Linked DNA regions of Arabidopsis thaliana. The protein of the gene in region 2 interacts with the protein of the main gene of each other region in a pairwise test. Each region holds a gene or a part of one and is shown on either strand. Other genes may lie near its edges. The genes, in order: AT3G59300 and AT1G19740.

Region 1 (5,454 bases), on a different chromosome or scaffold from region 2:
TGAACTTATTATTCTTCTCCATTTTTCCCATGTTGGATGCTTCTCAGGAAGGAGAAAGATCAAGAGGAACACAGATTTGAAGAAGTGGGCGACGAGGCGGCTATGCAGAGGAAGTTGTTAGGTGAGGATGATGAGCCGGGAACCTAACCACATAGGTTTTTGTCAATTCCATCGACTGTGTGATATTATATTATTGCATCCAGCAAAAATAAAGGATCTTTTGAGTGGAGAAAAGTAAGGACACCGTTGGTGACTGTAAAGAGTGAGAAAAAGGGCTTTATTTGATCTTGATTGTAAAGATAAACGAAGATTTACATTGTAAGAACAACATTGGACTATTATAGAAGTTACTTCAATTGTATCAACTTCTCTTTATTCTTGGGTTTAATTTAGTTTACTTACTACTAAAACGTAAGAGGCTGAATCTCCACACAGTTCTAGAACAGTCACTTTAAAGCTCATCGTTATGTACACAATCGCCAGGCCAAAGAACTCGTATAAGTACTAGACAGATCCAGTGGCAAAACAGCTTCTTCTCTGTTTCCTCATTTTCTAGTTTAGTGACTTTGATCAGCAACGGTTTTTTTAACGAAATGCATCCTTCAAACTCTCGTCATGACACTTCAACTTCCTTCTGCGTGAACGAGGGAACAGTAGCTGGTGGATCTTCTTCTCTGCTGCCATTTCTGTTGTAGCCTGTCATAAACAATGATGAGAGAAGCATTATCATATCAGAGTCCTTATGATTTTGTTTTCTTGTTGAAAAAGGTGTATATTTGTTTGATGTTTTAGTTTGAGATTTCTCTCACCCTGGTTTTGAAAGGGAAACGGTGAGTTTGGACTTGTGCACCTGCGAAAACTCTCACATCCATACCAAGACTATCAACACTGATCAGGTTAGCTTCCTGCATGAGATTACCACAAAGTAGCAAAACTGGGTTACAAAATGTGGTAGGTATGTAAACCAGAACTGTACTTCCAGATTATATTCAGAGACATGGATACAATACCTCTGCATGAAGACCCTTCTTTTTGCAGAGAGCTTTAAGTGCAATGCTGGAGTTAATCCCCCTGTTGTTGAAGCGCTCGATGATTGCAGAAGTAGAGTGCACTAGGATGTCTGGTTCAGCATCTTGAAAATCTTGCAAACTTATAGAAGACTGAAAATAGTCAAAGAATCTAGATCAACTCACGGTGAGACTGTGGGAGACAAAAATGACACACAGAGAGTTTGTATGAAAGTCAATGTTCGCAAAACAGCTCAACATATGTTAGCCATCGTTTCAAGCAATTTTTTCAACATCCAAATGACCTGACAGGTGGCAAAAACATACCTCTGCTCCATAGAGGGAGAGAAGCTCTATTCCCACAATCTCTAATCTATATAGACTTGAACTCATATCATTCTCGTCACGTCTGGAACTAGTGATTGGATTATCATCACCTGAAGATAAATATCCAAAGGGAGGTGAATCCAGGATGTCAAACAGAAATGTGTACGTGTATAGTACAGAGATTCCTCTAAGTTCTATGTAAAAGAGGTGGTACAAAATCAAAAACAGCATTTTGAGGACTAGAAAATATGAAAGGACCTTGAACCTCCCAGCTATAGTCATCTCTATCTTCCGAAAGAAATAATCTTCTTATATAAGATTCCTCGTCAAGGAAAGCGGGCCTAAGGCATCCAAGTATGGATACACCATTAGATGGATAGTCCATTTTCCTGTCATAGTCCATGCTGATGGCCTGCATGACAAGAGATCCCAAATCAACTACATAGTCAATGCAATGCAAGACCAGTATGTATCAAATATAATGCTTGTACGCAGTACTAAAGAGACTAGAGGGTTCGGTAACCGTTGCAAAATTCCAAGTTTATAGACAGAAACAAGTGAGAACATTGTTTAAAGCATGTCATTTTTATTAGATTTCTCATCATGCTATTGCATAGGATATAACCTTCGACAGGTGTTTGGCAAAGTAAATAGGATGAACACCGTTGGAGGTGTCAGGCATTCCCCAATCTATCGGAATATCTCTAGCTTCAGAATCCATAATCTACTCATATTTCAAAGTAATCAGAGCATTAATAAGACAAGAGACTTGGCATGCTTTGCAAGAAAACTAAGAGACTACAACAACAGCTCCAACCTACCTCGAAATAATGGTCATCAAAAATAATTTGGTCAAGATTACCAATGTCTGAAATGTTATATTCCTCATGGTGCCGTGTGTTTTCGTATCGCGGGACATCCATTCCAAAAAAGGCTTTCTACAAGTATAAGATGAAACTTCGATTAATAGGTGTTGGACATGGTGCTTATACCAAGCTAAGAAATGTTATCAACTATGGACATATACATGACATTCCACTTGATCAAAATGACACGCTTACCACTGGATTACTAGCTCCAGGATCTTCTAAGATGTTCTCATCATCAGGAATTTCAAAAAAGATATCTAAATTGGAAAAAAAAAAAAAGAAGCTGGTGAGAAAGAAAGTAATTGATAGATATAAAATATATTGAGCGATAATATAAGACTAACCTCCATAATCATCAATGACATACTTAAATTCGGACCATGAATTATGATCGTGTGGTTCACAGTGAATAGCTCCAGGAAACACCAGCACAGCACTGCTGTTCGCCTACAAGTAAAAAATGAATACCGTGTTCACGCATACTCAAAAATAGCAAAACTCCACACTGTTCTAGTCCATATGAAGTCATGGTTTGTGTTGTTTCCCGGCTATAAACCTCGACGGTAGTCCTTGCAACTTCAGAAGCAGAGAGCTTTGTCTCCTGGACTCTTTTGGACGGCTTCAAATCTTCTAGAGGATGATATCCATAGAAAGATGAATCAGGAACCGAATCAGAATAATCAGCAGCAACCGAAACTTTCGTGAGGCCGAGATCATGTCCACCGGATGATACATGAAATGCTGATCCAAAAAAAGGAATCTTGCATCTGGAACTGAATAGAGGAAAACACATTACATGACAATCACAAAGATGATAAGATTTACACTTCAATCAAATTCACTCCAAAATCAAAACAATGGACACACGTTTCTTCATTATTGACAAATACCTTAAAACAGAGAGATTAGCAGAGCCACATCCATCAAACACACGATTTCTTGCATTGCTGGTTCTTTTGTAAGGTATGGAGGAAGAGAACTCATCCGTGTAAGATTGATGGCAATGAGATGGACCTGATAAATACATACCAAGATTGTTCACTGCTCCCAAATTTTAACAGAAAAACAAAAAAAAAACAAAAATTGAAATTTTCAGGGAAGAAGAAGCAAAAGGAGAGACCTTTAGAATTACTAATATCAGATTTAAAGATCTCTAACAATGACATTAGCATTTAATTCCTAAAAAAACAAAAAATAATTAAAAAAAAAACAAAACTTGACACAGAAATAATTGTCTGAGGTCTCGTTTAGATTCAAAGCAGAGAAAAATGAAACTAATTTCAGGCTAAACGCCAAAAAGCATAAAGATTGAAGAAAACAATTCGACGACAGAGATAACCCACGAACCAAAAAACAAATTTCGATCGAGCTAAACAAACCAATTCGATTAAATATCAAAACAAGTCAACCAAAAAGAATCTCCCAAATGCTTTCGCCATTAATGAAAAAAAGAAGTTAATTTTAATTCGTCTCTGTCAGCCATGCACTAACTTCAGATTAGTCAATGAACAATACATATGAAACAAAATGAAGAGAGATCTCGAAGAATGGCGAAGTACCGAGGGAAAAAGAGGAAGCAGCCGCGATCACCATGATTTACACAAACAGAGAGAGCGGATCGGAGAAGCTGATATCTAAGCCGCCGTGGAATGTCAAAGAATCTGATCGTTGGGAATCCTCGTGTCCGCCGTATTCTTCGCCGTCTTCGTTGCCGTCGCTGATCACGTTTTTGTTTGGTGTTCTTATGTTTACTGTCGCATCTATTAAATGTTGCAGAGAGACTTCAGAAACTTTCAGCTTTCTTTATTGTTTTTATTTTTTTGTTTTTGTTCCTTTTTTTGTCGTCATGGCAATACTGATTTTTTTTTTTCTTTCTTTTTAGATCATGGGAAAGGTTGGTGTGGTTGGTATTTTTCGTTATGCTTTTGTGAAATTTTCGTTATCCTTTTTTCTATCTGAAAAAAAATGAATTGTAATGAATTAAAATGATGGATATATGGATATTCTTTTGATTCTTTTATTTAATGCTCATGAAAAAACTCTTGACTCATTGACGACCAATTGTGACTTGTGTGAGTTACATCAGTTTAGTACGGTTTTGTTTGGTATAAACTCTGGTTTAGTGAACCTAAGTGAAAATTCACACAATTATGACTTGTGTGAGTTGCATCAGTTTAGTACTTGTTTAGTTTTTCTTCTTTTTCAGACATTGGTATACGGAATGAAAATTCTTCCGAGGACTATTCACTTCAATCGGTAATACGTGCATTACGTGGTATGTTTTTTACAATTTAGTTTTTGTTACCAAAAAAATAAAGTCATCATTCCACCGTTTATTCGTTTCTTTTCAGATATTTTGCAGTTTTCTTTTGACTTTTCCGTGATTTATATACTTCACGTTACCAAAACCTATATACATTGACATAATTCTTTTATTGTTATTTGTTACGTGAAGTGGACAATGTATTACAAAAAGACGTATAATATCAAAATACATATGTATATAGCAAACCCCGAGTGAAGGTTGTGCCTCTCTGTCTCTCTCTTTACCCGTTACAAAATTCCTAACAAAACTCAATTTGGTCGAGAATTATTTTTGTAAAGAAAAAGCAAAATAACTGATGAAGCTGAGGTATTAATCCAATAATATGACTGACCAAACCCCAACTTACCTGAACCGACCATAAAATTTACAAATCCAGGTCAAACTGATTGTGTTCTGTTCTTTGATGTTTTCTCTTTTTACCATGATAAGTAAAATGGGTAACCGTGATTGGCTCGAATCTTACCGGTAACCTCCACCATATGGTTGCTGCTGCTGAGGGTTGTAACCGCCTTGACCCATCATTGGATTATAGGCACCGGTCATGCCTTGTGGTGCACCAGGAGGAGCCATGCCCATTCCTTGTTGTGGTTGCATCGGATACCCTTGTCCATACCCGCCCATGTTCATGTTCATGCCCATTCCCATTGGATAGTTTTGGTTCATTCCCATGGGATAGTTCTGGTTCATTCCCATGGAAAGGTTTTGGTTCATGCCCATGGGATGGTTTTGGTTCATGCCTATGGGTTGGTGTTGGTTCATGCCTCCATAGCCACCAACATTCATGCCCGTGGGCATGCTTGAGCCTACCATTGAATTTGTTGGAGGTCTCATAGCACCTGCACCAGCGCGACCTAAGCCAGTACCAGATCCCATGGCTTTCCCCATGTTGATAGTTGATGTTACTTGTTGTTGTGTGATAGTTGGT
Region 2 (3,935 bases):
CATTAGAACTTAATCAATCTTTTAAATATTGATGATAAGAAACTACACTACCCATAGTCCATAGACATAAAGAAGCTACACGCGACCCATTAATTCAAATCACACATCCTAATACCAGATCAATTAAGCAGTCTTCACACAGAAACTGAGGCAGCCAAAGTGGTCCAGAGGCATAGCTCAAGTGTGCATAATTTATCCTCTTATTAATAAACTCAAAAAGACAAAGTAACAATTACTAACCTTCATGGATCTTACATTTCAGCTTATCATCTAAAGATTCTATACTAGTTTTAGACATGTTTCTTCGAGTCATCATGGGTGTAACAGTTTCAGTACTAAAACGCTATGAGGCATTGAAACACTCTGATCAAGCAAACTTATTTAGATGAAAATGTACATGCTTTTCATTGAACATGCCAACTCAAGAAGCCATTCTTTGGTATCAAGAACCCTACTAGTGCAATCAAGTAAAACCCTTTTCTTGATCAATCCTACTACTGTATATAATCCTATGAACATAGAGGCAATCCAGAGTCTGGCATTGATCCGAATAAGCAAAAGAGAGCATCTTGAGAGGCTTTCAATGTAAATGCCAACTCGAGCCGCTTCGTATTAAGAACAACACTTGAATCACTAGAGTAATCTTTTATCATAGAGGCAATCAAGTAAAAACCCATTTCTTGATCAATCCAAACGATCCTATGAAACACATCTCCACTATCTATTACCTAAGTTTCTGAAACTTTACACATTGATCAAATATAATGTATCCAATAATAACTGAAAACACCGAAACGGAGACCAGAAGAAATATCTAAATACCGATTAAACTATGGCTGCGATGGGAACACATCTTTCACAGCAGAAGCTGCCGTCAAATAATTGAGTGTATTCCTCAGCGTCTCCCTCTCTCTCTTTAACCTAGCCGCCGTATCTTCAAGCTCCAGTAACGCTTGCTGCTCCATCGGAGCTCCTTCAAACGTGCTTCCGACGAAGAACGAGAACGGAGTCGGAAACTGATTCTTCCTCAGATCCTGAGATTCCTTATCTGGTTTCCCATTCAATCTATTCGACAATCGAATCACTTCTTTCATCAGAACCTCAACTTCATTCGCCAATTCGTCCAGATTCTCTTCACCGGACGGTCGATCTTCAAGCCACGTCACTTTCGCGACGAGGTAAGGTTTCGTACGGACGAGATCGGTGACTCGGAATCGTTCCTGACCTTTACAGATTAAGAAGAATCGATCGTCGACTAGACGCTCGTGTTTCACGATTTCTCCGACGCATCCGATTCCAGCTGCGGAGCCTGAAACAGCGTCGGAGTAGACAACGCCGAATCTGAGATCGGATTGGAGAAGCGTTTGCATCATGACTCGGTAACGAAACTCGAAGATCTGAAGCGGGATTGTTGCGCCTGGGAAGAGAACGAGAGGTAGTGGAAATAGAGGAAGCTCGACTAAGTCATCTGATTTGGGTGGATTCGCGTTGTTGTGGTGTTTCTCGGAGAAGGAAGAGGATGAGCAACGGAAGGAGAGGAGTTTACAGCTTCGACGGTTGATGCTCCGGTAAGTAGCTGGAAGATGTAGAGGTTTAGGGTTGAAGGCGGAGAGATAAGGTGGAGTTGATTTGAAGGAAGGAGATGAGACAGTGCTTGGAAGCGCCATTAGAGAGAGTGAAGGAGGAGAGGTTTCACAAGTGAACGGCGAAATTGATTTAAGATTTTAATTGTTTCGTCTTTAAAATTAAACCTTATCTGTTTGAGAAAATATATTTCATCAGATATTTTTATTTCATAATTCCTGTGGCTAGAAATTTGTTTAGAATAGAAATAAAAATATATACGAGCCATTTGGTTCGTGTGTAAGTGTGTAGTACATGCATTTGAGACACCGGTCCACTTGGATATCATTTCGTAGTAACCATGAATTTGCAGGGGTAATTGTGTCAATATCTCTTGGTCATATATAGGTTACAAAGATGAACGGAAGAAAGAAAAAAAGGTGATCGGAGATTTTGGCTTATTCTCAGATTTGGGAGAAATGGCGGCAGAAGAGGGTCAAGTGATTGGTTGTCACACGAACGATGTATGGACTGTGCAACTTGATAAAGCCAAAGAATCCAACAAGCTGGTCTCGATTCTCACCCCTTTGTTATGCAATTCTCTTTGGTTGTATTGGATTTGGGAATTAGGTTTTTGTTTGATTAGGGTTACTGTTTCTAGTGTCAAAGAAAGCATTATGGTTTCACATGTTATGGTATAGGTTTTGATTCCGGCTAACGTAGAGTTGGAATAAACGGATTGTTAAGGAGATCACAACATTAGATGTGAGGGCAAGTGAATCATCAGTGAAACTTACGTTTTGATGTGTAAACTTTTAGAGTATTTTCTTTAATTGATTCATCTTTGTGACTTTTGTTGTGTTCCTCTTTTCCTTATTGTAGCTCAGAGTCACCCCTCTGGTAAAAAAAATCATTTTGGATTGGGTTATTTAGGATTCTGATGGTGTGATAATTTCATTGTTTTCAGATTGTGATTGATTTCACTGCTTCATGGTGTCCACCATGCCGCATGATTGCTCCAATTTTCAACGATTTGGCCAAGAAGTTCATGTCAAGTGCCATCTTCTTCAAGGTGGATGTTGATGAACTTCAGGTGAACAAATACACTTTCTTTACAAACAAATTAATCTCCTCACTCTTAGACTTTAGAATTACACTGATATATTCTATATACTTGTGATGATGTTTAACAGAGTGTTGCTAAAGAGTTTGGTGTGGAGGCAATGCCAACCTTTGTGTTCATTAAAGCCGGCGAAGTTGTGGATAAGCTCGTTGGTGCGAATAAAGAAGATCTTCAGGCGAAAATAGTGAAGCATACTGGTGTTACAACTGCGTAAATCAGTTTGAGGCATAAATAATAAGGTCTAATTTGTTTATCTTAAACTAGCTAGACATAACGGGAATAGTGCAGATTGGAGATGAAGTAGAAGTTATTGATCTCTGACTGTCATAAAACCATGCTTTTTTTATATGGTCTTTGGCTTTTGCCTAATTCATATGTTTAGGTGTTCTTTCTATACCTCCATAGACCACCACTCAGTCGAATTTTCAGATCAGTGAAATAGACTCTTGTGAATGAATTGTTCCATGCATATCATAATTTGAATATCTGAAATCTGAGGCCTTGCAAAGGTGTAAAATAATTTTGTGCGAGCAGCTGTTTCCACGTGTTATAATTTGATTGGAAGTTGAAATTCTTATCCACCAAACGTTTCATATTTTGTTGCCAACGAACCCATTACCGAGGTTCTTCGTGCTTTCTTATCTTCTTTCTTCTTCGCTGAGCTTACTCTGTAATCTTGTGAACTCTCGTTGATAATTCAAAGAGGAAACGGAGATAAAGGAGAAAACTTTAGAGCGTGTTCAAGTTAATAACAGTTCTGTCGATAATGGAAAAGCTCTTCGTACCATCATTTCCCAAAACTTTTTTGAATTATCAGACTCCAGCTAAAGTAGAGAATTCGCCTGAACTTCATCCAAAATCCAGAAAGAAAAACCTATCATTCACCAAGAAGAAAGAACCCAATATCATTCCCGACGAGCAATTCGATTACTTGTGTAGAAACGGAAGTTTGCTCGAAGCTGAGAAAGCTCTGGACTCGTTGTTTCAACAAGGTTCCAAGGTAAAACGAAGCACTTACCTCAAATTGTTGGAATCGTGTATTGATTCTGGTTCTATCCATTTGGGTCGTATCCTTCATGCTCGGTTTGGTTTGTTTACTGAACCTGACGTCTTTGTGGAGACGAAGCTGTTGAGCATGTATGCTAAATGTGGGTGTATTGCTGATGCACGTAAGGTGTTTGATTCAATGCGTGAGAGAAATCTGTTTACATGGTCTGCTATGATTGGTGCTTACTCGAGGGAGAATCGG

What was found.
Region 1: the proteins of AT1G19740 (region 2) and AT3G59300 interact in a two-hybrid assay, tested with the Arabidopsis thaliana proteins (one large-scale study listed by BioGRID).

The regions. Positions count from the first base shown.
Region 1 is NC_003074.8:21,917,009-21,922,462, reverse strand, and holds AT3G59300 (Pentatricopeptide repeat (PPR) superfamily protein), read right to left. Parts: upstream 3,384-5,454; 5' UTR 3,376-3,383; coding exon 3,324-3,375; intron 3,218-3,323; coding exon 3,094-3,217; intron 2,977-3,093; coding exon 2,760-2,976; intron 2,651-2,759; coding exon 2,548-2,650; intron 2,461-2,547; coding exon 2,396-2,460; intron 2,273-2,395; coding exon 2,156-2,272; intron 2,059-2,155; coding exon 1,960-2,058; intron 1,747-1,959; coding exon 1,593-1,746; intron 1,445-1,592; coding exon 1,335-1,444; intron 1,161-1,334; coding exon 1,011-1,160; intron 906-1,010; coding exon 810-905; intron 718-809; exon of another isoform or gene 697-717; coding exon 586-696; downstream 1-585. Other genes in the region: AT3G59310 (solute carrier family 35 protein (DUF914)), read left to right, coding at 48-147; AT3G59290 (ENTH/VHS family protein), read right to left, coding at 4,989-5,454.
Region 2 is NC_003070.9:6,822,128-6,826,062, reverse strand, and holds AT1G19740 (ATP-dependent protease La (LON) domain protein), read right to left. Parts: upstream 1,742-3,935; 5' UTR 1,668-1,741; coding exon 831-1,667; 3' UTR 604-830; downstream 1-603. Other genes in the region: ATTRX4 (Thioredoxin superfamily protein), read left to right, coding at 2,043-2,132, 2,531-2,656, 2,757-2,900; AT1G19720 (Pentatricopeptide repeat (PPR-like) superfamily protein), read left to right, coding at 3,453-3,935.